3 linked regions of the Daphnia pulex genome follow. The protein of the gene in region 1 interacts with the protein of each later gene in a pairwise test. Links are inferred from orthologs where the notes say so. Each region holds a gene or a part of one and is shown in the gene's direction. Other genes may lie near its edges.

Region 1 (10,302 bases):
CTTAATAACATGACCAAGATCATGTTTACCTCTAATACACTTGAGTTTGACACCAGGAAGATCTGGGACTCGGCCAACTCGCACCAGCACTATATTGTGTTCCTGGAAGATGAAATAAGCTTTGTTAAATCTCATGTTATGATTGAGAAAAGAAGATTTTGTACTTGAAGATTGTGGCCTTCTCCAGGTATGTAGGCACACATTTCCTTGCCGTTGCTGAGTCTTACAATCACACACTTTCTGTTGGCTGAATTAGGCTTCTTGGGTTTCCTGATGACAGTTTTCAAGACCACCCCCTTCAGCATAGGACTCCCGCTGAGGGGATTCTTGGGTGGCCTGACTTTTTTGTGTGGCCCTTTCAAATGCATTTTAAGTAGTAGGTTGCTCATAGACCTTTCACCTGCAATAATGGTATTTAATAAAGTTTCATTTAATTACTAGTGCTATACAATTACGAACCGGTAAACAGCATTTGATTGTATTTTTGGAGGATTGATGATGTACATCCAAGTGTTTGCCTGAGCATTGGTAACCCTGGAAAACATTCATGGCGTATTAAATACTGAATTTTTATTAACAGTAAATTAACTTGCCAGCATTTCTGCTTGAATTGATTATATTTGAAGTCAGCCTGAAAACATTTTGCAATATTGAAGTCATTTTTTCTTCAAGAAAAATAGCAGACGAAAATTGTTGTTTACGTTCTCTCTGCTTAGATGGCGTTGTATAAATCGATATCTTGTAGTGCGCCAAATTAATCGAGAAAGAAAGCAACAACAAAAAAGAAAACAAAAATTCTTAGAAAAAATGTGCGTGAGGAAAATTCCTAATTTAAGATTATGGGTTACGCATGGCAGCGTGCCTGTTATTTTTTTTTTTCCTGGAACACCTGCTGTTTTCGCCAAATTTGTCGCTTCCGTTTCTTAGTCATTTAATTTTTTGTCTGACGTCATGCAGCTGACAGGTTGTACATTGTAACGTGGCGATCAACTAACGACCTATAAAATTTTTAAGCATCGCCACCATTTTCAGGTGACTAACACGTTGGGCTGAAACTTGCGCCGAGGAAATGGACGAATTCAACTTTACAGGTTCGAATGTTATTATCACTCTGCATGTTTTTATAGAAACTAGTATTTTAAATTGTGGTTTGAATTTTATTGGAGCAGAACATCAACACGTCAGGTATAATCCTCTCAAAGGTGAATGGATTTTGGTGTCCCCTCATCGTCTTAAGAGACCATGGAGTGGCCAGGTAGAGGCAACCCATGAAGACGAAATACCTCCATTTGATCTCAACAATCCTCTCTGCCCGGGAGTCAACAGACCCAATGGAGAGAAAAACCCAGAATATGATTCAACCTTTGTCTTTGACAATGATTTTCCTGCCTTGTTGCCCGACATCCCAGAAGCAGCAGCTTCCAATCAACCAAATGAAGAACTGTTCAAGTTTGAACCTGCCAGGGGAACTTGCCGTGTGATGTGCTTCCACCCTAAATCAGACCTAACGATTCCACTGATGAGCATAGAAGAAATCAAGGCCATTGTTTATGAGTAAAAAGACTTTTTACGTCACCGACATCTCTGTGGTCATGCGATAACAATTGGATGACACACAACTTTGCAGATGGATTAAGCAAGGAACTGAATTGGGTGTCAAGTACGATTGGGTGCAGATCTTTGAAAATAAAGGCGCCATTATGGGATGCTCGAACCCACATCCGCACTGCCAGATCTGGGCATCGTCTTTCATGCCCAACGAGCCGAGGATCAAAGATTCGTACCAGCGGGAATACTACGAGACCCACGGCCGACCTTTGCTGCTCGATTACATCAATGCCGAGTTGAAGAAGCAGGTACTATACTACAAAGATATATATCTAATGTAACTTGCCATCAAGTAAACTTGTTAGATTTGCTAAGCTGAGATGACCATTGGAAAAGCCTGGGATCACAAGTAGTAGATATATATTATCCAGCAGAGCTCCTATAGATTCCCGTGTTATTTGTTCCTCGGTGGTCAACTTTGCCAATGATTGATGTTTTTCTATTGCCTTGATATTATTTAGGAACGGATCGTCGTTCAGAACAGCCACTGGCTAGTCGTAGTTCCTTGGTGGGCTATCTGGCCGTTTGAAACGCTGTTGTTACCACTCCGTCACGTGATCCGGATGTGTGGTACGTACACCACACATATAAGATCGTTAATCGTTTCCTCCCCTTCACCCTCCCCCTACGTCTCTTTTAAGCGCTCTGTCTAGCGCTTCCCTTTATTGGTTTTTTCCTTTGCTAACTCGGCCCTTGTAATAGATTTGACGTCGGAGGAGATCCACTCGTTGGCTGAAATAATGAAACGCCTAACGATCAAGTACGACAACTTGTTCCGGACAAGTTTCCCATATTCCATGGGCTGGCACGGGGCTCCCACTGGCCGCAAGGCTCTTTCCAACAATCAACATTGGCAGCTGCACGCCATGTATTACCCACCGTTACTTCGATCTTCGTCCGTCAAGAAATTCATGGTCGGGTAATAATCAAATACAACCTAACCTAACCTCCACCCACCCAAAGTAGCATCAGCATCAGCAGAAGGAATAATAGATTTGTTTGACTATGTCCTGTGAGATTGACTCTCTTATTTCACGTCTCTTTTGGATGTCTGCCCAAAAAATGCCCCCCCCTTTTTTCAAACAAACATGCATGCGTGTGTACACACAACTCTCTCTCTCTCCGTCGAATCATCCGTTTTTAATTGGTTTTTTCTTTCTTTATCTTCGCAAGGTACGAGATGCTCGGCCAGGCCCAACGAGATTTAACTGCCGAGCAAGCGGCTCAAAAACTGTTCAGTCAACCGGACGTTCATTACAAAGCCGATGTAAAATAAAAAGAAGGGCTCCTTCTCATCGGCGGCTCTGCCGTAGTACTCTTATGTCGAGTCAATGAAGAAAACCACAAGAGTTTGCATGCGGTTTCCTGGCATTATACACTACAGTTGCTATGCGGTGCTGGGCTATCTATATATATATGGAGAAAGCCCATCCGGAAATAAACGAATTGTTTATTGATTGGTTTCAATTATTCGAGTCGGAGAGGCTATAGCGAAAAGGGCAGATTAATCAAGCAATTCTGGCAGTTAGTGACGTCTTTGCAGAAGGAGACTGTGAATAGAGAGGATGATCGATTTCTTTTCACCCAGAAGAAAATCCTTCATGGCGGCTGTCTGCGATTTCCTATTCTCGTGTCATTCTCATGGTTTCATTTGATACACTGGATTATTTACACTTATCGATCCTACGCCGGCCTCGCTGTTGTATACATCCGCATCTGGGTAGGTTCGGCCGTTGAGGGGCTCAGAGCATCGTCTAACAATATTCGTCTTAGTAGAAAAGAGTGAGAGCAGCAGCCTATGATGCAGTCGTCCGCAAAGGGGAAAAATCACAAGTTGTGTGTGTGTGTCGAGTGGGAGGAGCCTTTATGTATATCTACCCGAGCAGCTACATAATATTCCAATGTGATCCGCCAGATCGGCCGAATAATATCGAGAAACAGATGCCAGGATCAGAGTTTATTCGCTTCAAAAAAGTATGGGCTTTGTGTGTGATTTGGCTGGTGGATTGACACGTTTTTTTGTGAGAGGGGGGGGCTGTTGTTGTCGTTGAGCAATTGATGGATCGGCCAACAGTCACGTGAATGGTGATTCCCTGTTTCCGGCCTTGAATAATAATATCACGCTTGAGCTTCAACACGACGTGAGCTCTTAAGGCCGAGACACGAGTCCTACAGCGCGGTCCGGTTCCGCTGGGCTGCCGAACCTTCTGACTCACGTCGAGTTCCGATGTCGCAATCAGCTGATTTTTATCGCCACCAGGTGGCACCACCGTCTCGACGCCACTGGGCATGTGTGTGTGTATTGTGTGTGTTGCTGGCACAAGCTGCTGATAGCACACAGTCTCGTTCAGTCCAGGCCATCACAAACACACAACTAAATTTTATCGTCAACAAAAATTGCTGTTGCTGGCTTTCTCTTGGGTACATTTTTTCTCTTCCATTTTATTCTTTCTCCAACTACTTCTCCGACTCATTTCCACTTGGACGGAAAAATTTTCTCTCAGTCAGCCATTTTTATCCTGTGGTGTGTGTCAACAAGACAAAGTGTGAAAAACAGAAAATTTCGAGTGTGTACTTTCTGTGTGTGTGTGTGTGTGTGTTTGACCACGTCTGGTAAAAATTAAATTCCATTTTCTTATAGAAATCATCCGAGTCTACATGTGTTTGGGGGGTGTCATTTCAGAGCAGCTTCTCAGGTGGATGAACTCTTCAAAGGTAAGAATTTTGGTAATTCTTCTGTAATAATATGTTAGAGGTCAAAACTTGTGAAAATACCAGGAAAAATGGGGTGTTTTATCTTGTCCTTTGCGAAGGTTATATAGCACACGTCACTTCCAAATTTAACCACGTCAACTACATTTTGTTCGCCTCTTTAATAACCTGAATTCATTAATTAACGTAGAGAGTAAAAGAGCAAACAAAGCACATAATCAATTAAGCACAACACACACCCACACACAAAAGGCTCTTTTTTGAATTGATGCAAACACACTGTCAGCCCCTTGTGATGCGTCTATACCCAAGTAAATGTACATATATCGTGTAACAACAACGCTGATGTTGTTCTACATAATTTGATTTCTCTCTTTTCTTTCCAGCCTCTCCCCTAAAGTGTCAATGAATTCCATTTCTCTTTCCGGCTGCTGCTGCAGATGTTTTCTTTTTTAAAAGTAAAACATCCATCAGCGGTTTTCTTTCTTTGCCCTTTTTTAGCTCTTTATTTCGAGCTTCACGAGGACGAATGTGCTGTAAGAATATCCGCAGTGTGCGTGTCCCGCCGATAAGTCCCGAAAAAGCCACCACTACTTACGGTTGAGGATGGAAGTGGAGTAGAGGGGGGATCTAGAGAAGATCTGCTGTGTGAGACTGACCGTAAAAGAATCCCCAAAGTTCTTTTCAATAGTCTTCTTCTTGCCAGTCAGCCTGAATTGAATTGAGAGTTGTCGTTTAGAATTTCCCGGCCGCCTATTTTTCTATACAACACGTCGAGGAGAGATTCGATCAAGTATTCATCATCTTTTGTGTGTGTGTAGACGTGCAAACGTATATTAATACAAATCGCTGTGTAAAAGGGTTATGCCCATTTGGCAACTGCTGCTAGTAGTCGAAAAGACTTGTATGTATAATCACATTTCGTATCAACATAATCCTTTACTCGGGGAGAAAAAGTTTTTTGACGTCATCCATCTGCCACATACTTAGCCCCGCCCGTTAGCTCTCGAGTGTGTGTGATCTCGACCATCATTTACGTAATTGGCTGCTGCTGCTTCTGAATCTTTGCCGCAGCGCAACTTCTTTTCTTGCGGATTATTATTTAGAAAAATATTGACAGTCGCCATTTCTTCTTCTTCTGTGTGTGTGTGTGTTTGACAGGTCGTGACAACTTCAACTCCGTCGGGAGGACTTGGTCGTGTCAACAACTTACAACAACCAAACTACTACTAACAACCATGTCGTTACTTCCATCACCACACCAACAACAATGGGCGACTACGACTATTCTCATCTTGGTTTGGCTGGCCCAGCTTTGCCAGGCCAGCACTTTATCCGGCAGCAACATTTGCACCCGTCAAGAAAAGTAAGAATTTAACCAAAATATAAATAACTATTTTTTCGATTGTTGTTTCTCTAGCTCTATATATAGGGAAAGTAGGATTTTTATTTTGTTGGGATCCTACCTCCAGGAAGAAAAGCGTTTGATGTTTTGGATGAGGTTCCCCCGCCCAGCTCCCGCATAGGCACAAATGTTTTCTTTTTTCCAAGAGAAGAAAGGGATGGTGAACCCCCCCATCTACTTAAGGATTTTTGGCATGCATCAGCCATTCTAGTGTCCCCAGTGGATCCTGTACACATTTGGAAAGAGAGAGGTGGAAATGGATGGGGCTGGGGGACGAAATGGTAATAAGGGGACAGGCCAAAAGGATCAAGTCTCAGTCGGGAGAGTTTTTGATCGTTTTTCGGGATTTGCTGTCGCTCGAGCGTGACACAGTTGATCAGGGATGCATCCAGCCAGGCGTGAAAAAGTAGAGAGAGGGGTCGATCCATCAATCAGCGATTCATTCGTCGTTATCCAATCGGAATTATTATTATTATTATTATTATTTTTCCTTCAACATCGTGATTGCTCATGTCTCTCCCTAGCACTGGCTATAATCGCTAAACACATTTTTTTCGTTTTTTCTCATTTCCAGATATTTCGTGACGGTGAAAATATCCTATCTGCAGCCGTACAAAGTCCGGACGTTCACCACCTGCTTGGCTTTCCCGCCGTGGTGTTCACGCTACACGGTCCACAATAAAGTGGCCTTCAAAACTGAGGTAAAATTTGAATTCATTTCAATTATTTTATCCACCGGATATCATTTCGCAGAGAGTTAGCAGACCCAACTGTGTGTCCAAGCTTTTCTTTGACAACCAGTTCAGCGACTGTCCGGCGCTTGTGTTGGAATAGCCAAACATACGAGACGTCGGGAGTGGAGGGGAAAAGTTTGGACGGGAGTCGGGAGGGTTGACTTTCTGATGATTTTCCCGGTCGTTAGAAATTGAAAGATGAAACTTTTCCTTTCCAATTCCAAAAGTCCCTTTCTCCGAATGAATCGATTGAGGCCGAACGTTTCGCCACGACTTTTCAAAGGGGGTGGAGCGAATCGTTTGGTTTCAGCTTCCAACTTTTTTTTTCCATTCCAATTTTTTTGGTGTTGTTGTTGTTGTGGTGAATATGAAATGTTTTTCCCTGGTTTTGTTCAATATTGATCATCGTTTTTGTTAACTTTTTATTTTTTGTGTGTGTCATCTTCTTTTTCGGGGGGTCCAATCAAGTCGGTGGAGAAGACCCGGGTCCTCGAGGATTGTTGTTCAGGTTACGCCCGAACGACTGACAATAGCAGCTGCGTTCCCATTTGTGGCCAGCAGTGCCTGCACGGAACTTGGTAAAAAAAAAAAAATAACACAACCACATTTCTCTCAGTACAGAAACAAGAAAATTTGATTTTTTCTATATTCTTTCAGCTTTTATACATATGTGTGTATATATGTATCTCATTCGTTTCCGTTCTATTTGGTTGTTTCTTTATTCTCGGTACTCTTCTTTTTTTTGTGATGACGACCACCGAAAATAAATAAAAAAACAACAGCGTGGGACCGGACAACTGCAAATGCGAGCCCGGCTATGGCGGACCCACATGCAACATTGGTATGCTATGCTCGTGTTTTTTTTTTTTTTTTCTAGCTCAGTCTCGCTGTTTTTTGTTATTTGATTATGTATCGGAGGAAGGAGGGTGGGGAGGATCTGGTCAGGTCCAGTCTCGTTGCTGCGGTCGCAGATTATCGAACCGGATCTTCTCTTTTATTTCCTGACATATGGGGAGAATTGACTAGCAAAACTAGTACAACATTTGTTTTTTGTTTCCAATGCAGCTTGCCCTGAGCACAAATGGGGCCCCAATTGCAGCAATAGCTGTCCGTGTCTCAATGGAGCGAAATGCGACCCGGTGAACGGCAGTTGCACCTGCACGGCAGGTTGGAAGGGACTCCACTGCGACTATCCGTGCCCCAAGAACTATTACGGCCAGTCTTGCTCTCTCAAGTGTCAGGTAATAATACTCTAGACCTCCCCCTGAGCACCTACTCTCATGTCCTCCATTTCCATTTTCTCCATTTGCTGATTGTTTTTTCTTCTTTCCCCTTTTGTTTGTGTTTCTCTCCTTTCGACAGTGCAAGAATCAAGCCTATTGCGATCCTGTTTCGGGAGCATGCGCCTGTCAACCCGGATGGAATGGACCACTGTAATATTCATTTAGAATCATCATAATTTATGGGGCACTAAAAATAGTTCCGCTGCTCCTTTTTTTCTGTTTGAAGATGCGATGAACCTTGCCCGGATGGAACCCACGGCCAAAACTGCGCGTCCAGTTGCCGCTGTCAGAATGGGGGCACGTGCAGCCCCATCGATGGCAAATGTTTCTGTACCAGCGGATGGACGGTAATGAAAAATCCGTCACCATCCGCCTCTTTTTTTCCATTCGATTCTATTTTTATATATTCATTTGATTTGTTTTTTTTCTCTCTCGTTGGCTGCTTCCACTTCCGGCTTTTGTGTGCTGTATTATATATAGGGTGAAGTGTGCGCCAATCCATGCCCGGATGGCACTTGGGGTGCCCAGTGCTCTCAACGTTGTTCCTGTCACAACAATGCCCGTTGTGATCACATTAACGGCTCTTGCCACTGCTTGCCCGGCTACCGTGGCGATCAAGTCAGTATACTATTACTTAATTATTCACTTTCTCTCTCTTTTTCTAAATGTCATTAAAGATAATTCAATCTTCTATTGTGTAACCCCTATCATTCCTTGTCCAAAAAAAGAAAGAATAATGATGACTAAGAGGAAATTGTAACCACGTCGCAATCATCCGGGCTTATTGGCTTTGATCCCTGTCTATCAATCTTAAGTACTTTTCCTCATTTCTTTTTTTTTTCTGTTTTGTTTGACAGTGTCAGGAACAATGCCCTCCAGGAATGTACGGAAAGAACTGCGAAACGCCATGCAAGGTTGGCACTTTTTCTTACATAATATAATCCAGACTGTTTTTATTTAGTTGTTAGAAAGCGTCGTGAATTTGTCGTGACTGACACAAGGAATCTCTGTCCCTGGACAGAATAAGAACATATTTTGAATTGATTATGTGTTGTTTTTCTTGCGGTCGTGACAGTGTCAAAATGGAGCCATTTGCAACATCACGAACGGTTCTTGCGCTTGCACCGAAGGCTGGACCGGTCCCGATTGCGGTCAAAGAGCCTGTTCCGACAAGCTTTACGGCCCTGGATGCACTCAGATCTGTCCGTGCTCTTCCAATAATACTGAATTGTAAGTTTGCTTTTTATTTTGTCTATTTCGAGTGTTTTATTCTTTTTTGATTGTTTTGTTTTTTCATCTTTTTGTTGATTTGTTTCGTCTGAAAATTCACTTTTCTCTTTGTTTTTCTTTTTCGTTTTTCTCGTAATATAATAAGGTGCCATCCGTGGACTGGTGAATGTATTTGTAAGGCCGGCTGGGACGGCCAAACGTGCTCGAGGCCCTGTCCAACCTACACATTCGGTTTGGGCTGTCGAAACGTCTGCACTTGCAAGAACGATGCCCATTGCGACCCCGTCAACGGCACCTGCGTCTGCTTGTCAGGTATTGATCCAAAACACAACCCGCCATCCAGTTGATTTTCTTCTTTTCCTTTTTTTTTATTTGGCGCTACCAACAGCAACAACCGGTCGATTTTCTTCTCCGGTTGTTGTTGGACCGTTTGATCTCTTTGATTGTATTTCCTTTTATTTTTCGCTTTCTCTCTTTTGTTTCTCTCATTCGTCTATTTATTTATTTCTTTTTTTTTCCCAGGCTACATAGGAAACGATTGTCAGGATCAGTGTCCCGAGGGTCGTTACGGGCACAATTGCACCAATGTCTGCGCCTGTGAGAATGGAGGCAATTGCTCCAACACGGATGGACAATGCAAATGCCCCATTGGATGGTCAGGTCTGCTTTGCGAGTCGCCCTGCCGGGCAGGATTCTACGGCGAGCACTGCAAGGAGCAGTGCCATTGCAAAAACGGAGCTTCGTGTCATCACGTCACAGGTATTTTCAGAGTCAAATCAATTGCCAATGGGAAAATCAAATAACTGTTGAAAAAAAATCCAGGCGAATGTTCGTGCAGCGCCGGATTCAAGGATGACGCATGCAATGCCACCTGTCCGGAAGGCCGTTTCGGTTTGAACTGCGAAGAGACGTGCGAGTGCCAGAAGGGGACGACCAAAGCATGCGATCCCGTCACGGGAGAGTGTCTGTGTCGCACCGGTTACCGGGGCGTCCGCTGTGAGACCCAATGCCCTAAAGGTCGATACGGTCCAGAGTGTCGTGACGTTTGCCACTGCGAGAATGACGGCTCGTGCGACAACCTGGGCGATTGTTTCTGTCAACGCGGCTGGACCGGTGAATTGTGCGAGGATCTCTGTCCCACTGGTAATTCAGTACATTAAATCATTTCCATTTTTTCATTTCATTTTTCATTTTTCCACGTTTTGAAGGTTTTTATGGGAAAAAATGCCGGCAGCCTTGTCCTTCGTGCGTCAATGGTGAGTTTGGTTATCGACCGGTTTCCGCTTATTATTTTCAATTATTTATTGTGTTTTATTCTCTTTTCTTTTCC
Region 2 (10,374 bases), on another chromosome or scaffold:
GTCACTTTGTTGGGAGAGGTCGTGAGCGGCTCGTTCACTGCACTCTTTCGACCTTCGACTATCCTTTTTCCAACGAAGGACTAGGACAACATTTTAGACTTCAATTTCCTGTTATCCAAACAATTCCATAATAGGGAAAAAAGAAATTCAATGTTGACTTTCTCTTTTAAAATTTAAACTTGTAACATTTTACTCGATTTTTCTGTTAATTTATCATCATCTTCTAGCGTTACTCGATCCGGAAAACACTTAAACATTGGACTTTGAACCAAAGTTCACGCTGCTTTGTATGGTTACTACTCAATATCATTTCATCACCACTATGTCTTTCATATGAAGCTCGAAAAATATTCTCTTATACCGTTAGGTTACAACGACAACTCGCTCGAAGGCGATTGTTCCAAAAAGATGTAGAAAACCAAGAAAAAAAGAATTTTTGTCTTCCTCTTCATTCCTGTTCTTCTTTAGGTTAATCGGGTTATGGAATAGGGGGTTTGATCTTGGGTTATTTGGGCGTCATCTTGGCTGGTACTCTGGGGGGAGGGATACCGTATTTCCAACTAAAAAGGGAGAAATCCACCACGTCCTTCACCGTACCAGGCAAAGAACTGGTACGGAGCACATCTCCGTGGAAAGACGATAAACATCCCTCCATGTTTTTATGCCTATGACCTGTATATTTAAGAAAGCCAAAAAGGGGAAAAGGGGCAACAAGAAATATACCAAGGGATAAACACCACCCTATGTAAAATCTTATCTAAAGATGTGGAGGGTATCAACCCAAGAGCCAGACAGAGTATACTCAAAAGCAATTGAAAGTCAGTTTGTCAAGTTCAACGTCGTGTTATCGATTATTTACGGCAGGTGGAGCCAGTTTTCTCTTTTTATAACGTTGAAGTTATTGGCAAATTCAGAGTGGGTTTTTTTATTTTGTTACTAATGAAATCTTGTTGGCTCATTTAGGCCTACAGGGGGTTCCGATATACTTCGACGCTGGAAAGCCCACAATCTCCCAAAAGACCTATTTATGGTTTTTAACTTTCTTACCTGTATAAGAACCTATCCACCCCCTGATATATTAAGGGGAGAAAATCCTGCTCAAACTGCTTTCGACCGGTTCAAACTAGGCCGAGAACGTTATTAACCTTTCAATTTCTCCCTCTCAAAAGACCATCACTTAAACTTAAAAATTCACTTTCACTATGTTAAAGTCAATATTGACCTACTCATGGAGTGTGAAAAATTATTTTTGAGTCTGATTTTAAATTGCGATTTCGACCAGAATAGAAATCAGGAGTAGTGGGGGTCTGGGGGATAGCGATCCTTCTGTGGAAAACTATGACGTAATCCTAATTTAATTTTAAAACCAAAATAAATCGATTAAAAAAAAAAGGCCGAAGATCCCAGTAGGAATAAAAACCGGAAAAAAGAGGATTCGTCAAAAACATTTTGGGGGTTGGCGATGTGACGTGTGGTTAGGCTGAGCGTACTTCTCGCGATAGAAGATGAAAAAGAAGGAGGGATGAAACAAACTTGAAGAAACCGAGCGGCGCAGGGTAGGCCGTGCTGAGAAGTATAAAAAGACATGCGGACCCCACTAGCTCATCACACACATCCACTCGAATCCTGCGTCAACACAGCTCTTCAAGGCGTCCTCTATTTCTCCAGGCATTTGTAAGTTTAATTTTAGTTAGTGTTTTGAAACTCTGTTTTTTTTTTTTGTTATTTGTAACTTTGTGTTTACTCGAGCGGCGGAATCCAAGTCAAATAACACTCCGATTTATGTAAAATGTTTGTGAAGACGTTCGATTGTCTTAAAACAACCAAACCATCTGTGTTAAGATTTTTAAATCTCGAATCCATTCTATTGTCTAACAAGTTGCAAGATTGAAATTCCAAGCGCTTTAACAATTAGTTACTAATTCGTTTAAAAGGAGGCGTGATTGTTTAAAATGACTTTTTAATTAATCTCATATTATTAAATGTGTTTTAACTGGAAAAACCCGATTCTCTTGCGATTTTGGAGAAACCCAGTTTCTAATCGCTGACCCTATTTCTTTACTTTTCGACCTTGCAGAGAGTCCAAGAGCGTACGTGGATTAGGAGGTGAAAGAAAACTCCCCAAAGATGTCTACGGTACTAGGTCAGCAACCTTCAATTTGGTGCGATATCGAAGCTGTTGCCGAAGATAGACAAAACTGCCAAATGGAATCAGACAGCAGTAAAATTCACGCCATCATGCTGGCCGCCGAAAAGCGTGAAACTAGAAACAGAGACAGTGGGTGCGACTTGAGTTCCACGGGCACCGATTCACCCTCAAGTTACCGGTGGATTAAAGATGACAATTCCACTGGATCCTATTCCTGTTCCAGCTGCGAAGCCACTGTCGATCAAACTTCCGTAGTTTACCAACAGCTGGCTGAAACGTTGGCTCAAGCTCGACTCAACAATTCCGATTCAAAAGACCCGTTAGCTATACCTTCCACTTCAATGGTCGTCAGCGAATCGTTGATTGCTCTGAATCCAATCATGCCAGCTGACTCGAAAGAAGAAGACAATATGGCAATGGAAAATCCCGACGAAAATAAAGACAACGATAGGCTGTCCAATGTCTCACAGATCATTACGTTCCCAGATCCTTCATTTAAAATGGAACCCGCAAGTCGCAAAAGTCGTGGAAGGCTTTTCCCTCAAGTGTTGGCTTCGCTGGCCCTGGCCATAGCAGCTTTGATCGAGGGGTACTCATCTGGCTATACTTCTCCTGCCCTAGCTTCTATGACACAACCCAACAGTTCTATTCCCGTAAACGACCAAGAGGTTAGTAACTAGACTAAAATCCCTAATACCAAACAAAAACTAACTGGAAATCATTCAATTCTTAGGCGTCATGGATCGGGAGCTTAATGCCGCTTAACGCTCTAATCGGTGGCATTGTCGGTGGAAGTATTGTCGAGCATTTTGGCCGGAAGACGACCATCATGGCTACCGGGCCACCATACATTTTGTGTAAGTAACGCAACAGTGTCATTGAATTCAAAATATTAATATTTGCTTTCTTCATCTAGCTTGGTTACTCATCACGTTTGCTACAAACCTGCCCATGGTCTACGCCGGACGTTCAATCCAGGGATTTTGCGTGGGCCTTACTACCTTGACGCTGCCCATCTACTTGGGTGAAACTATTCAACCGGAGGTCAGAGGATCGCTGGGCCTGTTGCCCACCACGATAGGCAACATAGGCATCTTGTTTTGCTACATTCTGGGCTCCTACATCGACTGGAAAGTATTGGCGGCCATCGGAGCAGCTCTTCCTCTACCCTTTTTAGCTTTCATGTGGTTCATTCCGGAAACACCACGTTGGTACATCTCTAAAGGCCGTTATACCGAAGCTCGCGAATCTCTACAGTGGCTCCGTGGGGGCAAAACTAACGTTCAAGACGAGTTTCTCGAAATTGAAAACAATTACAAGAATCAGAGCGTCGGTGGTGGAGCCAGAGAACTTTTGAAAATTGCCTACCTACGGCCCCTACTCATTTCACTCGGACTCATGTTCTTTCAGCAACTTTCTGGCATCAACGCGGTCATCTTTTACACCGTGTCTATTTTTGAAAAATCTGGCGGAAGTGTAGATAGCAACCTCTCTTCCATCATTATTGGGTTGGCTAACTTTATGGCTACACTGGGCTCAAATATGGTCATCGACCGAGTAGGCCGTAAAGTTTTACTCAACATATCCGGATTCTTTATGGCAATCAGCCTCGGCGCATTGGGAGTCTTCTTCATTCTGCAACACCTTGAACATGATCTCGAACACGTCGGTTGGCTTCCACTGACTACATTCATAGTCTACATCGTCGCCTTTTCCATCGGTTATGGACCTATCCCTTGGCTTATGGTACGTTATTAAAATGTGATGGCTGTTTGAAAAAAATTCAATCCTAACAAAATTTCTATTTGGCTAATTTAGATGGGAGAAATTTTCCCAAGCAAGGTTCGTGGTCACGCTGCATCTGTAGCTACAGCTTTCAACTGGGCTTGCAGCTTCGCAGTAACTAAATTCTTCAACGACCTGATAGCGACGATCGGCGCCCATGGAGCGTTCTGGTTTTTTGGTTTCTTCTGCTTTATCAGCATCTTTTTCGTTATCTTCTTCGTACCAGAGACCAAGGGACACAGTTTGGAGAGTATCGAGAAAAGTATGCTTGAAAAGAAACCGAAAAAAGATATCGAATCTACTAGGCTGTAAAGGCGACCAATTATTTTTCAACGTTGGACGTCTTAACAGTGCGGACAATGTTTTTGTACATAAGACTATTCCTTTCTTTAATCAAATGATGTCTTCAATTCCTCAAATCTCTGAATGATCTGTTCTGTTCTACCTTATTTCTTCCCAGGAAAGTTTAAAGATAGCCTTATAATTAGGAATAGAACAATTAGGATTCGTTATTTATAAATACGACTGTTTCTCCTAATACCCAGCAGACTACGAATCTTTTCTAATTGTTTTATCTTCCAAAATATTTATGTACATTACTACATCAGGCAGGGTACAGAACATTGTAAAATGGTAAACTTCTCATCAACCCCCATAACTACAACCTTGCCGACACCCCACCCCTTTAGTATTTAGTTGAAAATGTGAAAACCAGATAATTTCTGAATATTTTGTGAAATGTAAATATACCAGAACCACAAATAAATTTTAAACATTTTCCTTTAAAATAGTTCTTGTCTCTAACCCTTCTTAACAAACATATTGAAATTGGGACTTACCCATAACTTGAACTCTGCAAATGGCACAAATTTCACACTCAACGTCCCAGCTCCACATAGCAACTGCATTCCACCGTTTCAATGAGAACATCTTTTCAGTTTTGACTACACAGTCATTACCAACTGTGGTTTTTTCCACTGATTTCTCCATATCAATATCATCTGCCATTTTCTGCAGTAGAATAAAAAAACCTGTAAAAAAATAAACAAAAACATTTAACATGATTTTTAACATTGACTGACATATTGAAGTGAAAGCAATAGTTGCATTAAGGTTTGATTGGATATGATTGACAACTATACACAATAGAATGCAGGTACATAATCAAAAGATAAGAATGGGTAAAATAAGCTTACTTTTAGCTATATGAATTATGAACACAGAATTTTGGGCCAGTAAAAAATTGAAAACCACAGCAAAGGAGCTCTCAGAATTGTATGCTGAGATATTGTTTATGTCGTCTGCTAGCCCGCTCGGCGCTCGCTCAGCTGACTTATAATCACAAGTGCATATTCGGTTCAATTTTGGTTCAGCCACTGACAGGAAGGAACTCCCTTTGACTACTCTCTGATAAAAATAACATGAAGAAAAATTTTGACTTTTAATCTAGCTCTTTTAACCTTTATAAATGAATTTCAATACCATGTCTCGACGACCTTCAAGAGACGAAACTGACCAAGACCTAAGGTGGTTTCATGGGAAAATCAACAGGCAAGAGGCTGAAGCTCTACTTACTAATGGTCTGTTTAAAATAATATTTTTTTTTGTAGCCTATCTATTAAAATTGTGATCTTATTTTTCCATATTTATGCCTGCAGAAGATGACTCTGAAGGACTATTTTTGGTGAGAGAGAGCCCCACAGTTGATGGAGCTTTCATATTAAGTGTTCGTCACCAAGGAGAGCCCAGGCATTACCAAATAAATCGACATGGGGCTGATGCATTTTTTTCAATTGGTTTGCCATTGAAGCATTTTTTTACATTAATTTACATTCATTATAAATTTTTTGTCCCCTTGCAGAAGATGGATACATTGTTCATGGCCTTGATGCTCTCATTACTCTTTGTCAGAAAGAGGGCTCTTCTATTTTTGGACCACTTAACCGACCTTGCAAAAAAGATTTGCCACCTGTTGATACAAGGTGTCATGGAAGATGTAATCTATTGCATAGAGCTACCAAAGAAGGTGATTGCCAAGCATTTTTCATCTGTCTGAGATTCCCTTAGTATCAAGTATCAAGGTCACTACCAATTATTCAACAGGCAACCTAACTGTAGTATCAGAATTACTTCGAGGTGGCTCCTACAGGAGTATCGACGCTAAGAACGAAATTGGACAGACTGCAATCCATTTAGCTGCCTTTTTGGGGAATAATATGATTCTTAAACTTCTTATCCAAGGAGGAGGAAATGTCAATGTTAAGGATGATGCAGACCTCACTCCACTACATGTAATTAATAACAGTAGTTAAATCATTTATTAATACCCTTCCCTGTAGCTTATTTAATGATTAACCTCTCTTGAATTGTTTAGTATGCTTGTATACACAATCATCACGAATGCTTAAAGACTTTGCTGGAGTTCAAAGCTAGCCCTCAAATCCGACACCGTTTGACCGGAATGGTTCCCCTTCACGAGGCTGCTAGTCGAGGACATCTCGATTGTGTGAAAATCATGATGGCAATGTCTGTAACACCATTGTCACGCACTAAAGAAGATCAAACTCCCGCTGACTTAGCTAGAAAAAATGGTTTCTATCAATGCGCACGACGATTAGGTATGGATCACATTATTTCAAAGCTGATGGATTTCCTTAAATTGGTCTGTTTTATCACAGAGTCCTACAAACCTCCATTTCCGTTCACCAGAAAAGAGGACTGGTATCATGGACCCATCTCACGACAGGAAACTGAGCGTCGTTTGAAAGAAGGCAGCGCCAAATACAATGAAGATAACTTTTTCTTAGTTCGGAGAAGTGCGAGCAAGCCAGGATTTTACGCTCTTTCCGTGCTCTACACTGGACGCGTCTTTCACTTTGAAATTTGCAAAAGAGGACAGTATTATTACGTCGATTACGGGCCGTACCTTGAATCACTCGAACACGTCGTGGGTCACTACATGAATCACGCAGATGGCCTCCCTGCCGAATTACAACGACCCATCAAACCACCTCAGCCAGTGGTCGATGACAATTTCGCTTTTAAAACAGTAATTTTAAGGCTGCTTTTTTGTAGGACGAAGTATTTGATTATTAAATTTGTAACAGATTTCAAGACAAACACTCAGTCCACCGCCCTTACCAAACCGAAACCTTCGTCGTTCACCGTCACCCAACGAGTCTGTCTGTAGTTCGTCAAAAGATGTTCCTAAACGCGTTGGTAAGAAAGAAATGGTTTTACATTGGGGGGGGTTGAATAAGGCACACATTTAAAAACTGTTGGTAAATCTTAATTTGCTGAACAGGAATTGTTACGAAGGAAGAGTTGGAGTTGTACGACACACTTGGCGAGGGAGAATTTGGTTTCGTTTATAGGGGATCATTGCGCCAATCGAATGGAAACTCGGTAGTATATTTCTTATTCTAATCAACCGGTTTAATATATCATTTAAGTGTTTTCATCAAGATTCCTGTTGCGATAAAAACTCTGCGTGATGATCAAATTGAATCAAACCGAGAAGAATTTCTCCGCGAAGCACGGGTTATGATGGAATTACGAAATCCTAATATTGTCCGTCTAATTGCTCTTTGCAAAGGCCCTCCACTAATGATGGTATAATTCTTCCAAGTCAAGCTTTTACGATAGGAAATGTAATATTGTTCTTCTTTATTCGATTTTAGGTTCAAGAGTTGGTGGCTTTGGGTTCTTTATTGGACTACTTGCTGGATCATCCCCACACAATTAGTCCGCAGTTCGAGTTTCCTCTATGGGCTGGGCAGATCGCTGATGGTAGTTTTGAAAATTGTTATATTGTGATGTCGCATCCTTACTAAACTTGCTGTTTATTGATACAAAGGAATGCTCTATCTTGAACAAAGAAATTTTGTTCACCGTGATTTAGCAGCCAGAAATATTCTTTTGGCAACACGATATCAGGCGAAAATTAGCGATTTTGGCTTATCAAGAGTCTTGGGTGCTGGAGAAAGTTTCTATTCAGCATCAAAAGGTGGACGATGGCCGGTGAAATGGTAAGTGTATTTTACATCCAATCAGAATTTTGCTTTATTATTCACAATTTCAACTTTGGTATTTGGTAGGTATGCCCCAGAATCGATTAATTGTGGTATGTTTTCCCATGCAAGCGATGTTTGGAGTTACGGCGTCACCCTTTGGGAAACGTACAGCTTTGGCACGCAGCCATATGGAGAAATGTCCGGCGCCGAGGTAATATCTTCTTCCTATCTGATTGAGATTGCGACTTAATTTTACATCCTCCCCACATAGGCTACAGAAGTAGTCGCACAGGGTGCACGTCTGCCGCAACCTGCTCGTTGCCCTAATGATATCTACTCACTAATGCTTCGTTGCTGGTCGGAAAATCCGGATAATCGTCCAACGTTCGCTAATCTTGTGCAGCATTTTGCCTCTAGCGCCGAATATGACAATGTTAAAAACTTACTTCAGACTGCTTCGACTGAACAAACGCTTGACAATCTCATTGACACATCTAACAGTAATCTTTTGGTTTCAGACGTCTAAACAGTAGAGCATTTTTACTGCTGAGCAGCAGATGACTTAATTAAGAAACTGAATGACAAAATGTTCCTTTTATCCACGACTTTATTCTTAAACCGTTACGGTGCCTTTTTTAAAACTGTTCTCATTTCCTATCACGAGACACGGAATGTCATAATTTGGGTGTGGTGTAAGAACACAGAATGTACAAATGCATAATGCATCTTCCTTTGCGCAAAAAAATGTGATTAAGAAAACAGATCAACCAAAATTGCTCATGCATGTGTGACTTGGAGGCTATGTGAATTGCGAGTCGAGGCTACAGTTTTAAGTGAGATTAATTTTTGGTGACCCTTTTATCAGATCTGGAAATACACGAAGATTATGTATGATAAAAAAGTTTTATCCTTTACATATCAATAAAGAAAAACATCAATAAATCTCGCAGCTTACTTCTAGGAGACAGATGCTCGAAATTGAACCAAAATATTCAGTTTGGATTACCTTAATATGACGCGGCAACCCAAATATATAAGTTGACAATAATAATGATAGACTTTATCGAACGCATTCCTTTAACAAAATAGTTCTTTTCAAATGTTCGGGTAGTGCAGAATTTGCGATTTTTTGCGTAACAAATTCGCCAAGTTGACGTCTGATAACTAGTCTGCAAGAATCTAGTAGCGGCTGAGGACTAGATTTATACTGGACTAGCCAATGGTTGGTACTGTCGGGCTCAACGCGAATTCGGTTGAAATCTAAACCACCACGAACAAGTGCTTTAGCAAAACTAGTGTAACCATTTCGAATGGCTAATGTTAGGATGTCAACAGGACATGAATAGAGTGAACTGAGATTGGGATCGGCACCACGTGAAAACAAAGCCGTTGCTAGTTCAGGGTGATGATGTACGACGGCACGTAGCAAAGGGGTATCACCAGGAGTAAAACTTTCAATGTTTAAACGACCACCATACTTCTGCAAAGTTTCCAGAATCTGATCGAAAATATTCACGTCTTCATCACTCATGGATTGGGCAGCTTCATGGATTGGGTGGACGCCGCTTAGTGCGTTGGGATAGTTTGGGTTAGCTCCGTGCTCTAGCAAGAGCTCAACCATCGCTAGATGACCCTACGAAATAAAAGAGATTAATTGTGAATTTGAGATTATAAAACAGAAAGTTCAGTTATAGAGTAAATATATAGTGAAAACTTTTGTAGAAGGGAATACCTGTTTTGCAGCCAAAAGTAGAGGCGTGTTGCCATGATCATCGCGAAGGTTAGGAACGCTTCTGGCGTTCAATAACAATTTAGCCATGGCAGTGTTTCCCTGTGTTACAGCGCAGTGGAGCAACATGTGAGACTGCGTGGTCACACGAGCCCCTCGGCTAACAAGTAATTCAGCCATGTCGGTATTATTCTGCCAAACAGCTTCACACAATGCCGTGTATCCATGAATTTCTTCCAAATTAACCTGTTAAATTCATGATATCGTCAATCTCATCTACACAGAGGACGAAACAACACAATGATTTTAAAACGACCCGTTTACCTTGGCCCCTTTTAGTAAAAGAACTTCAACAACGTCTTTATGACCACGCTGAGCGGCCACGTACAAAGGACTTCGATCGGAGTAATCCAGGGTGTCAACTTTAGAGCCGTGATTGATTAAAATCCGAAGAATTTCCAGTTGCCCTCTGCTTGCAGCGGAATGCAAAGGTGTTGATTTATCAGTGGCCTTCAATATTAATTTTGAAATTAGCATTTTAGATTTTACTTGTAAAATGAATACGGCCGACCCACCCTTAAGTTAATGTTTGCTGAATGCTGAACTAACGCCTGGACGGCTTCTAAATTCCCGCGTGCTGACGCAAGATACAACGGAGTCATTCCTTCAAAGTCCATTGCATTCACAAAAGATCCAGC
Region 3 (9,951 bases), on another chromosome or scaffold:
AGCTAGGAAATAATATACGCGCTGAAATCGGAATAATAACTATGGTACCGTCATCCAGGCTCCAGCAACTATTTGCGCAGTCGTTTTTCGAAATGGTTACGAAATGAGGGCGCCAACTGCGTGCTAACAGAATTAAATTATCTTGCCAAACGGTAAGGGCATCACTACCTGTTGTCCTCGGTTCGATTATTTCACGAGGTTTTGAGCAGAAATAAATTTAGATATAAGCGAAACATGTTTGAATTCTAATGGATTTTTGTCCCCACATTGTCATTGGTTATTGATGATGGTGTACACATCGGAATTTTTTCTTTCTCCCAAGCTCTGTTAATAAGTGCCGATGAATAAATCATCAACAGCATTTTTTAAAATTCCCACGGTGCAAAAGGGGAGAAAAGGCAAAAGTCTGTGCGCATGTTACGCCAACTCGCACCACTGTGGCAGATGGACAAACTAAGAATTTTATTTTTGCTTGACGCCTAAGCTTTTCTATCTAGCAGACGAATCTACGTCAAAGTTTTATTGTGAAGTTGTGTTTCCTTTAGAAAACCAAATTGAAATTAAGTTTTTTTAAGTTTTTACAGTTCGAGTGCAATTTGTACAGCACCTGTGTTCAATTACCAAGGACGTACGTATTCTCGTTTATTATTTACTTAACTACAACGATTTCGTAATGACAGATGCTGTGTAGATTTTTTCTTCAATGCCATGCATGCGGTTATCTATGATGTGATGTCATTACACACAATCGTAAGCAGATGAGCCTCTATTCAGAACAGGTCGCCTTTTTGGGATGGTCCCGTGTAATGATAATCTTTTTCCTCAATGACATAACTATTTCGTGAAATCTGTGACTGTAGACTTTCGAACGGTGCCCTTCAATTCCTAAAGATCGCAAATAATTTCGTTGACTTATTTTGAAAAAAGTTTGACGATGCGACCCTATCTGAAGGTGAAGATACATTCTCAATCGTAAAATGGCTATTTGAGTATTTGAATGGTATCTTTTATTGGTGTAGATAGCACAGATTGATCATAACCTCGTTGGTATGTCGGGTAGAACACATAAAATATCTCTGATTCTCACAGCTTACATGTCTCTTTCTCTATGTCGTTGAATTTATACATTTGCTTCTATTTTATTTTCAAGGCAATGTTATTCCGCGTTTGGAAAAAGGGTTGATCCCAGTTATATCACAGACAACACACAGCGTGTGGAAGGTGATCAAGCGTTAATAACTATACTAGTATCTCACAATATTCCACGGGAGGATAATTCACGAAACGACGAATCAAATACTTTTACAGTCGAGGTAACTATGCACTAAATAGAATTATCTGCGTTAAATCTTGTCTAAGCATCCTCCAAGTCTTATAGTCTCCTTTGTCACTCATTAGCGCGGAAACGTAAATCTACAACAAATATGATTATAAGTTGCTGCTTCGTAACTACTTCATTAAAGACGCTTGGGTTAGTAGTTCACGGTCCAATCGTGATGAATCCCTTCTCCAACGACCTCGTAGAATCCCCAGAATTTCCCTAATACGCTTACGATATTTTTCCCTTATAATTTCTACTGGGAGGGAATTTTTCAGATTGCAAATAATACGTTGATTGTGCAAATTAATTCATTTGGAAAATTACGTTTTCGACTTCAAACCGAAAATTGAGAGATCCAAACCAACAACCAAAAAAAAATTTCCAGACAATTTAAATTTCACGATTTCAATTGCACAATTTAAAGAAACGCCTGCCGGATTGAAATTGGCTTGTTGACCGGTCACGTAAGACTGGTTATTCGGTCACACATAAAGATCACACTTATTATTTTGGATGGTGAGAGAAAAAAAAATAGCAATAATTGCGCGTTTAATTGGTTTCGAATTAGGCGACACAATTAAGGGAAAGTATAACTTCCAATATCCTTTTCTATAATTTTTTGTTTTTGTTACCGTTGTGGTCAAGCGACAAACAGGCGAGCCGGTTGTCGAAGGCTATGCGAATGTATAGCTTGCTACTTGTTATTTTCCGTTTCACGCGATGTCACCGAGAATCCGAAACTCTGCGAGACGTTAGCGCCGAGCTACTCACGCATGATCCGGTTTTACGGGGTGAGCCAAGAGACCTTCAAGAGTCAACAAGACCCCTCCTTTTGGATAGTATCATTTCCCAGCGTCGCCTGTAACTTGCAGTAATGAGTAACCACAGCTGAAACGACAACAGTGCGACTAATGTATAAAAGGACAATGCAGTGGTTCTTAACAAGCACAGTCAGTTCTCTCAGTTTCCAGTCTCAGCTTCTCTCTCTGAAATCTCAATTTACTTTATACTTATCGTCATGTCTTTCTCGATGCTTACTTTGGTAAGATTTAATTAGGTTTATACCTAATTGTTATTTTTTTCACTATTCAAGTTTCATGTTAATTCCTCCGCACCAGATCGGTGCTACCGTTTTGATGGCACTCATCGGCTCATCACTTTCGTACTCGGATACTTATTCCAACACCCCGAGTTACTCTTACGCCTACCAAATTTTGTGAGTTTACGTTTCCATTTGACAAGAATTAAAGTTTACCTTTTTTTTAAATCGATACCAGGGACACTTACTCCGGCCAGGATTTCGGGCACGAAGAGGCCAGCAAATCTGGCAAAGTGAACGGTGAATACCGTGTTCTCCTACCTGACGATCGCCTTCAAGTTGTTAGCTACTCTGCCGATCAAAATGGTTACGTTGCCGACGTCCAATATGCCGATGGTTCATCCAGTCCAGCTTATGGCAAAGCTGCTGGCGGTTATTCATCGGGTGGTGCTTCCGTCAAGACCTCGTCGTACTTCAATCCACCAACTACTTCTGGCAATAGTGGATACTCAGTCAACAATGGTGGATACCAATACGGCGGAGCTTCATCAACAGGAAACAGTTACGGTGCTGGAAGCTACAACAATAATTATCAGAGCGGTGCTGGAGTGATGGCTGGTCAGGGATCGATGTACCAGCAAACTGCCTTTAAATCCGGTTGCGTTTGCCAGTGCCCAGCATAGATATAGCATAGTGCCCTGCCCAATTTCAAATTAACCTTACATAATTGCGGTCTTCGCTCATATTTATGCAAAACAAAAATGCTAGATAATATAATTATTTATTTGAAAGCCGCTCTAAAATTTTGTAGCTAAGGATATATTGTTCTTTCGTATATTAATGACGTGTGGCTTAAATAAAACATGCGGATCCCATTCTGTTATTCTCCTTTTTTTTTCTTTAATTAGGTTTTGAGCCTTTCTAATCCATTGTATGAAGAGATAGCGCAGTTTCAAAATGATGAGTAAACTGTAAAAGCGCGGTTTACAACAAGCCGTTAAATGTTGTAATTTTTGTTGTGACAATAGCTCATTAACATTTACGTGTTCCATATTCAGTCGACGTTAAAGAAATTCAAATTTCATGTGTAGCAACTTGTGACACAGGTATTTATTCAAGCCAAGCTTTTATTCATTTGCGTTGACGATTTGAGTGTCCGACAAAAATATTTCTGGCCATCGAAGAGCAAAGAAGTTCTGCTTTATGAGCAGTTTTAAAAACTTTAACGTTTTTCAAGTTGCATTATTTTATTTTACTTTATTAATAATCCATCAAAGTAAATATTTATAAACATTTGTAGAAATGTTTTTTAACGTTTTCAAATGCATCTCAAATGGCGCTACATAGCTGCAGGCAGAAAGTAAATGACAAGAACGACACCAGATGTAGTTTTGTGGTTTTGTTTTACTGTTTTACACCGAACGAATCTCAATCTGAAATAAATAACGCCCCAACGTCCAACGATAACTAACTTTAACTTGTTGTATTTCGAGCTGCTGATAATCTCCTCACGCTGTTTATTCTATTTGCGCCCTGTACTGCCTCCCGACTCCGGTATCGTATATCTAGCAAGCCTCAACTGAAAAATATTGTACGTGTCAGTCTCTGAGCATAACTCGTCATTCATACCGGCGTACTGCCAATTTTCAGTTACTATCAAGACATTCTGATGTATTTTCAGACATCATTTCGCGTACAAACATCTTATTTTATAAATTCACAAAGGTCTTTAGTTAAACTGTATATTTTCATTTTGTAGGACATGCAGTGCAGCATCTTTATAGCCATCATCTTATTGATGAAATGGGTTTCGGGAAATGAGGCCAATTCTGATACTAGTCAAGTTGTAAAGCTTGACGGTGACACCTTTCAAGCAGAATTACCCAAAAGCCATCATTTTGTCATGTTTTTTGCTCCTTGGTTAGTGTTAAGTTGGACCCGAAATGATTTAGAGTTTCATTCTTATTAACTTTTTACAGGTGTGGACATTGTGAACGATTGAAGCCAACTTGGGCTGAATTAGCCACTACTGTTAAATCAAAGTTGAATGAGGAAGTAAAAATTGCTGAAGTTGATTGTACTACTGCAACTTCTCTTTGCTCCCAACAAGATGTCACAGGCTACCCTACGTAAAGATTTTCCTTATCCAATGGTTCTTTTTCTAAAGTACTGAATTTACAGGTTGAAATTCTTTACGAAAGGAGTGGCAGAATCACAGCGCTACAGAGGACCAAGGGACTTGCCTTCATTGCTGACATTCATTAAAGAGACTCTAGGCTTGGCTGAAAGCATTAATGTACTTACATTTTTTTATCCTCATTTTTAGTTTAATATTACTAAATATTTATAATTCTTTTCGTATAGGAAAATGTTGTAGATACTAAAAGTGATGAGCCTGTTAAAGGAGCTCTTGATCTTTCTGAAGACAATTTTCATTTACATGTCGCCTCTGGAGATCATTTTGTGAAATTTTTTGCTCCTTGGTGTGGGCATTGTCAAAAAATGGCTGGAACATGGGACAACCTTGCACAGTCAGTTGGGCAAGAAAACAGCGTTACCATTGGAAAGGTTGACTGCACTCAATTCCGCGACTTATGCAACGAGTTCGAAGTCAAAGGTTACCCTACTCTCCTGTGGATTAAAGATGGAAAGAAAGTGCGGTTATCTATATAGTGTTTCCCCTTGTAATTCAGATACCTAATTTTACTCATGTTATTTTGTGATAGGTAGAAAAATATCAAGGATCGCGAACCCACGAAGACCTCAAGTCATTTATTGAGCGCATGAAGAAAGGCAATACGGAAACTGCAGATGCCAAGACCGTAAGGATGATAAAGAAATTTGAAATAAAATAAATGTTTTCTTCACTAATATAAATATTTTCAAAGGCTACTGTGACTAGTTCTAGTCCTGTTGTTCAGCTCGTCGGTTCAAACTTTGAAAACGGAATAGCATCAGGAGTGACGTTTGTAAAATTCTATGCACCTTGGTAAACCAATCTATTGGCAACTTAGAAATCGGGTTGATGATAAAATTTTTTTTTTTTTTTACAGGTGTGGCCACTGCAAGCGAATGTCCCCTACTGTAATTACATTTTTAGTTTTAATAGAGATTGCAAATATTTTTAATAATAATTTTATTAGTGGGACGAGTTAGGAACAAAGTTTGTCGGTAAAACCGGAGTTAAAATCGCTAAAGTAGACTGTACTGAGGGATCAAACCGACAGTTGTGTGCTGACCAAAAGGTATTATCGAATAATGTAAGTTACAATTCATGTAATCAATATTCAAAAATTGTATTATAGGTCAATGGTTTCCCCACCATGTTCTTGTATTCAAACGGAGAAAAAGTAGAAGAATATGACGGAAACCGTAGTTTAGACGACATGTTTTCTTTTGTCGCCAAGCTTATGAATGATAAACAAGCAAAGGATGAATTGTAGAACTTTTACCTCAAGTAAATATACTCTTGCCTTTTAAAAAGAGTAAAAAGATGAAAGGATAATGGATAGCACTCATGATTTATTTCATCCACTTGCATGCCAAGTTGTAACTTACACCAAAATAAGCGAGTAGTTGTAACCCTACTCTACGTCACCGCCCTTCTTTTTGTAAGTGTTTAGAGAAAGTGTTCATTATATGCCAGTGAAATTGTTTTCGTGATTAGGTTTCCAGAGTTTTATTGTTTAAATTGTCAAAAACATCAAAACCTAATCGGAAACACCTTTAGATACACCACCGTCGCCTCTCATCTTCTTCCTGCAAATGTTGAGATAAAACAGGTTAACAAATTAGAAATTAAAATAAGCTTTGAGTTTAAACTATACTTTAGATTTTATCGATCTTGTGACTCTAAATCCAGCTTTAGCCTCTTCGGTTCGGAAGTTTCCTCCTCCACTTCAGGTCCAGACTTCGTAAGTATTTCGATGGGAATCCGGAAGGACAATCGTAGCATGTGCTTCTTGGGTGAAACATCTCTAACGTCGACTAATTCGACGATTTGTCCATCTTCAATGGAATGTTTTAAAGATGATTCCACTTTGGTACGCATTTCAGAGAAGGCAGAAGATTCTTCGCAGAAACTGTATACATGAACGGTAATGTCTGGGAGTGGATCCAACTCGATACCCGCTAATAGTCCGATGAAGGCGTCGAGGAATTCGACAGCAAGTGCAGGAAGGTTCATCGTTACGTGGATGGGCTCTGTGGGCTTTCTAAGAAGGAACGATGACAACTGTTCACGAATAAATTGACGCCCATCAAGATTGAACGTTTCAACTTTCGCGACTTTGTTGATTCGAACGTTTTCTTTGAGCCAATGGTAGCTAGATGGGTTGAGATCGTTGGCAAAGACCTGGCACTTGCGAATCTTCGCGGCCGGAACTGAAAACGGACCCACTCCAGCAAAAACGTCAAACAAAACACAGTTTTGTGGTAACAGTTTGATGATGCGCTCGTGTTCCGTGCAGAGTCTTGAATTCCAATACACTTGGCTAAAGTCAAATTTGAAAGTACATAAATTCTCTTTCACCTCCGTTATAAAGTCAGTTTCACCCGCCAATACTTCCATTTGGAAGTTGCGATAAGTCGAGTCTATTGCCGAACTCTTGTTCACCACCGTCTTCACTCCAATCAACTTGTCAATCAAGACTTGACCAATCAAATTTTTGTAGGGTAGCAGGTGATCTCTAAGATTGAGGTGAATGATGTGACCTATTCGTGAATATGAGGTACATCCTTCTTTCCCCTCTGGTAAAACAGCTTTGAAGATATCGTCTATTCTGAAATTTTCATACTGTAAATGAAGACATGTTCTGGAGAAGTTGTCATTGTTCACGTCCAATTCAGAAAGTTTCGTTTGTTGTTCTTCACTCAATTTGTCCAATGTTTGAAATAACAGAGGGTCCAGCAGCAATTTTTTTCTCTCTACAGTGCCATCAACTTCAACAACTGGTTTTAGCTTCTCCATCTTGAGTAGATATTTTTTGAAAACATGCATGCTTTTCCCAATATTTTGGCTTGGGATTTCAACTGACGGTACATTCACTTCTTTTGAAAATTTTTCTCTGTCTAGTTCGGTCATTCCGCGAACATTGGGTAAAGACAAATCCATTTTGGTCCATAAACTACGAAATGGATAACTAGTTGGAACAGCTTTGGTTAGTCTACTGAAAAGAAATAGGCAGTTCACTCCCATCAAAACAAATGATTTTCAAATTATAATCTTAGAATAAGATGGTTGGCAATCGGATTCTTACCAACTAAATTAATCGTTGAAAGCTAAAACTTTTCAAACAGATTTATCAAAACCCGGCTTTGTATTTTCCAAGAGGTTTTAAATTGATGGGCAGAATACAGTACACAATAGACGAAACTACACATGCTATAAAAATTTCGTCTGCAGCGAAAGAAGTAGCCAAATTTCGAGTTTTGGACTTAAAAATGATAATCTTAAAGTTTTTGGATTCAGTCTTTCTGTCCTTTGCAAATCACATGCAAAAAAAGGAAACTTGTGATGACTAATGAAAAAGATAAATCCTTTGAGTTATTAATAAATAATAATTCCTTTGAAAAGTCGGCTTTGAAAACAGAACTGGCAACATCGAAATAAATGTTCCCGGAGTTGGCGTCTGCCTTCTACCTTCTTATTTCTTTGAATCTCATTCAGTTTGATGTTCTCGACCTCGCGTGTTGTACATAGGTAAAGGTACGACCATGTTCACGATTTCCCTGCGAGTTCCTGATTCAGCATTGCATACGGTGCATATTGGGTATGTATTTTCTCGCTGTAAAATTGTTTCCAGCATTCCGAATCAGCATTTACTTTTGATCAGTTTGAAGAAAATCGATAGCAATTAATGTAAGAAAACTTAATTGTGATCAATTGTAATAGTCGTTTAGTTTAACAGTCATGTTCAGTTGCTTTCTTATTGTATTCTTTTGTTAGTCGATAGCGTTTAATTTTCGAGATCTCTCACGTTTTATTTTTACAGCTTAAAATCTGTGTCAGGATTGATCCAGTTCATGAGTACCTCTCAGGTTTTATAGCCATTCCCGAATCCAATTTTAGTGCTTCAATGACATTCTCTGCAAAAGTAAGAATTTTTCTATTGCTTATTAGCTGTCCCCTTGAATTGCAGTTCTCTCCGAGGCAATGCAAAGTAATTAATAATTTTGTGGTCCAATACTTCTTTCGCTCCTTTTGTCCTTTCAGACCAGTTTTACAGTTTTTTTTTGTTGATGGTTGTGAATCGTAGGTAGTTTTGCATCTTCTGTACCTTCATAATCACAAGACCACCCAAAATCTCTCAAATATAAAACAAAAACAGAAATATTTAGTTTTTCATATTTCATTGCTCTTTACATTTTCTAAATGTTAACCTTCACTGATTTATGTTTTTATGGATTTGAAACTCATGAATTTTATTTTTGTTTTTTTTTAGATATTCATTCTTACAATGATGCCCTAGCGGAGGAAATGTACTGCCAGATTGCTGTCTGTTTGACAGCTCCATAACACAAACGCATTGCGTACGCCGAACGAGGGAGTATTGTTCGTCAGTCACGTCGGACGGAAAACGACAATCAGCATTTCCTTCATGGATCTTTAGAGGTAACCAGGATATTGTTTTGCTAAAAGTTTATTTTGATACTTGTGATTCAATTCCAGTTAAAATGGCCTTCCATTGTTCAAATCTTGCGTATCAGCACGTGGCTGATGTCCTGTGATACATCAGGCCAGGAAGAATCCTCATTTGGTAATATTTTGGGAGATGTTAGTTTTCATTTAGTGTGACATTAATTAATTGCGACGTGGTTAATTGTAGTTAATTTAGTGATATTTAAAATCAAGCTAAAAAGAGGATTTTTATATCATCACAGATTTGCTTTCCCATAATGTCGTCTTAGACTGCATGCTCCGGCTGAAGGCTGAACGTTTCTTCACATGTAGAAATACTTCAGAATAGTAAAAGTAATTATGTTATCTAACTTTTGAATCCCAAGGTAACACATTTAGTTATTTGGCGACTTTGTAAACGACAGTCGTTGGGAGGGGTTGAAATTTGTATATATCTCTCCCAAATTTCGCCAGTTTTTCGTTCCTAGCTTTTTGAGAGGGGAGGGGGGAAGAAACTGTCTAGACTTGTCAAGGGGTTAACACACACCTCCTCGACGCACTACTGGTTGCCAGTTTTTATTACCCGCTCTTTAACCATTTGTTCTAAAAAGTCGAGACGTAAAATTGTGTCATCGGGATCAGGTGGAGGACTGGAGGAGTATTTGTTCGTGAGTGACTAGCCGTTTGCATATGAGACGGTGGACGGAAATGTTTTATTGCTTGATGACAGTGCTTTCATCAATTAAACTTAAGACGCATTTTGTGACACACCATTTGGTTAAGCTGAATCGAAAGTGAACAATTCTAAAGCAAGTAAATGGTGAGTTCTGACATCGGGAAATTCATTTTCTAATCTACTTTAACTTTTTCGAAGCATGTCGAAGATTTATGGTGATTTTACTTTTATTAAATGGCAACTAGCATAAATTTCTACTTGCCAATTTCATCTTATGTGACTTGCAATTGTTGTAC

The links.
Region 2: the proteins of protein draper-like (region 1) and tyrosine-protein kinase Shark-like interact in binary tests that used the Drosophila melanogaster proteins (3 or more experiments, as listed by UniProt). The link is inferred for Daphnia pulex from reciprocal best matches to the Drosophila melanogaster genes drpr and Shark.
Region 3: the proteins of protein draper-like (region 1) and thioredoxin domain-containing protein 5 homolog interact in binary tests that used the Drosophila melanogaster proteins (3 or more experiments, as listed by UniProt). The link is inferred for Daphnia pulex from reciprocal best matches to the Drosophila melanogaster genes drpr and prtp.

The regions. Positions count from the first base shown.
Region 1 is NC_060025.1:1,677,765-1,688,066, forward strand, and holds the start of protein draper-like, read left to right. Parts: upstream 1-3,820; 5' UTR 3,821-3,835; coding exon 3,836-4,029; exon of another isoform or gene 4,030-4,175; intron 4,176-4,249; coding exon 4,250-4,323; intron 4,324-5,481; coding exon 5,482-5,686; intron 5,687-6,299; coding exon 6,300-6,426; intron 6,427-6,927; coding exon 6,928-7,037; intron 7,038-7,241; coding exon 7,242-7,300; intron 7,301-7,524; coding exon 7,525-7,700; intron 7,701-7,821; coding exon 7,822-7,892; intron 7,893-7,968; coding exon 7,969-8,089; intron 8,090-8,222; coding exon 8,223-8,360; intron 8,361-8,599; coding exon 8,600-8,656; intron 8,657-8,817; coding exon 8,818-8,972; intron 8,973-9,117; coding exon 9,118-9,284; intron 9,285-9,494; coding exon 9,495-9,731; intron 9,732-9,794; coding exon 9,795-10,115; intron 10,116-10,180; coding exon 10,181-10,228; intron 10,229-10,302. Other genes in the region: 40S ribosomal protein S12, mitochondrial-like, read right to left, coding at 1-102, 165-400, 460-534, 594-660; probable galactose-1-phosphate uridylyltransferase, read left to right, coding at 1,070-1,554, 1,628-1,856, 2,070-2,178, 2,311-2,527, 2,782-2,884. UniProt on the Drosophila melanogaster protein: Receptor which is involved in the phagocytosis of a variety of cells including apoptotic cells, severed and pruned axons, degenerating dendrites, salivary gland cells, germline cells and bacteria.
Region 2 is NC_060024.1:9,936,327-9,946,700, forward strand, and holds tyrosine-protein kinase Shark-like, read left to right. Parts: upstream 1-5,200; 5' UTR 5,201-5,402; coding exon 5,403-5,514; intron 5,515-5,592; coding exon 5,593-5,730; intron 5,731-5,795; coding exon 5,796-5,960; intron 5,961-6,037; coding exon 6,038-6,225; intron 6,226-6,308; coding exon 6,309-6,552; intron 6,553-6,612; coding exon 6,613-6,983; intron 6,984-7,041; coding exon 7,042-7,153; intron 7,154-7,238; coding exon 7,239-7,339; intron 7,340-7,399; coding exon 7,400-7,546; intron 7,547-7,614; coding exon 7,615-7,723; intron 7,724-7,790; coding exon 7,791-7,962; intron 7,963-8,031; coding exon 8,032-8,158; intron 8,159-8,218; coding exon 8,219-8,473; 3' UTR 8,474-8,706; downstream 8,707-10,374. Other genes in the region: RING-box protein 2-like, read right to left, coding at 4,774-4,942; facilitated trehalose transporter Tret1-2 homolog, read left to right, coding at 2,128-2,817, 2,883-3,006, 3,066-3,895, 3,968-4,246; serine/threonine-protein phosphatase 6 regulatory ankyrin repeat subunit B-like, read right to left, coding at 9,008-9,580, 9,680-9,922, 10,001-10,186, 10,252-10,374. UniProt on the Drosophila melanogaster protein: Following axon injury, required for recruitment of drpr and glial cells to severed axons and for glial clearance of severed axons from the central nervous system.
Region 3 is NC_060028.1:10,387,654-10,397,604, reverse strand, and holds thioredoxin domain-containing protein 5 homolog, read left to right. Parts: upstream 1-3,729; 5' UTR 3,730-4,029; coding exon 4,030-4,053; intron 4,054-4,119; coding exon 4,120-4,280; intron 4,281-4,339; coding exon 4,340-4,489; intron 4,490-4,541; coding exon 4,542-4,656; intron 4,657-4,724; coding exon 4,725-5,015; intron 5,016-5,086; coding exon 5,087-5,182; intron 5,183-5,248; coding exon 5,249-5,349; intron 5,350-5,413; coding exon 5,414-5,444; intron 5,445-5,503; coding exon 5,504-5,605; intron 5,606-5,665; coding exon 5,666-5,803; 3' UTR 5,804-5,865; downstream 5,866-9,951. Other genes in the region: pro-resilin-like, read left to right, coding at 2,340-2,363, 2,440-2,537, 2,599-3,043; tRNA (guanine(37)-N1)-methyltransferase-like, read right to left, coding at 6,196-7,557. UniProt on the Drosophila melanogaster protein: Possesses thioredoxin activity. Acts as a ligand for Drpr and is required for the phagocytosis of apoptotic cells. Binds to the extracellular region of Drpr and augments Drpr tyrosine phosphorylation.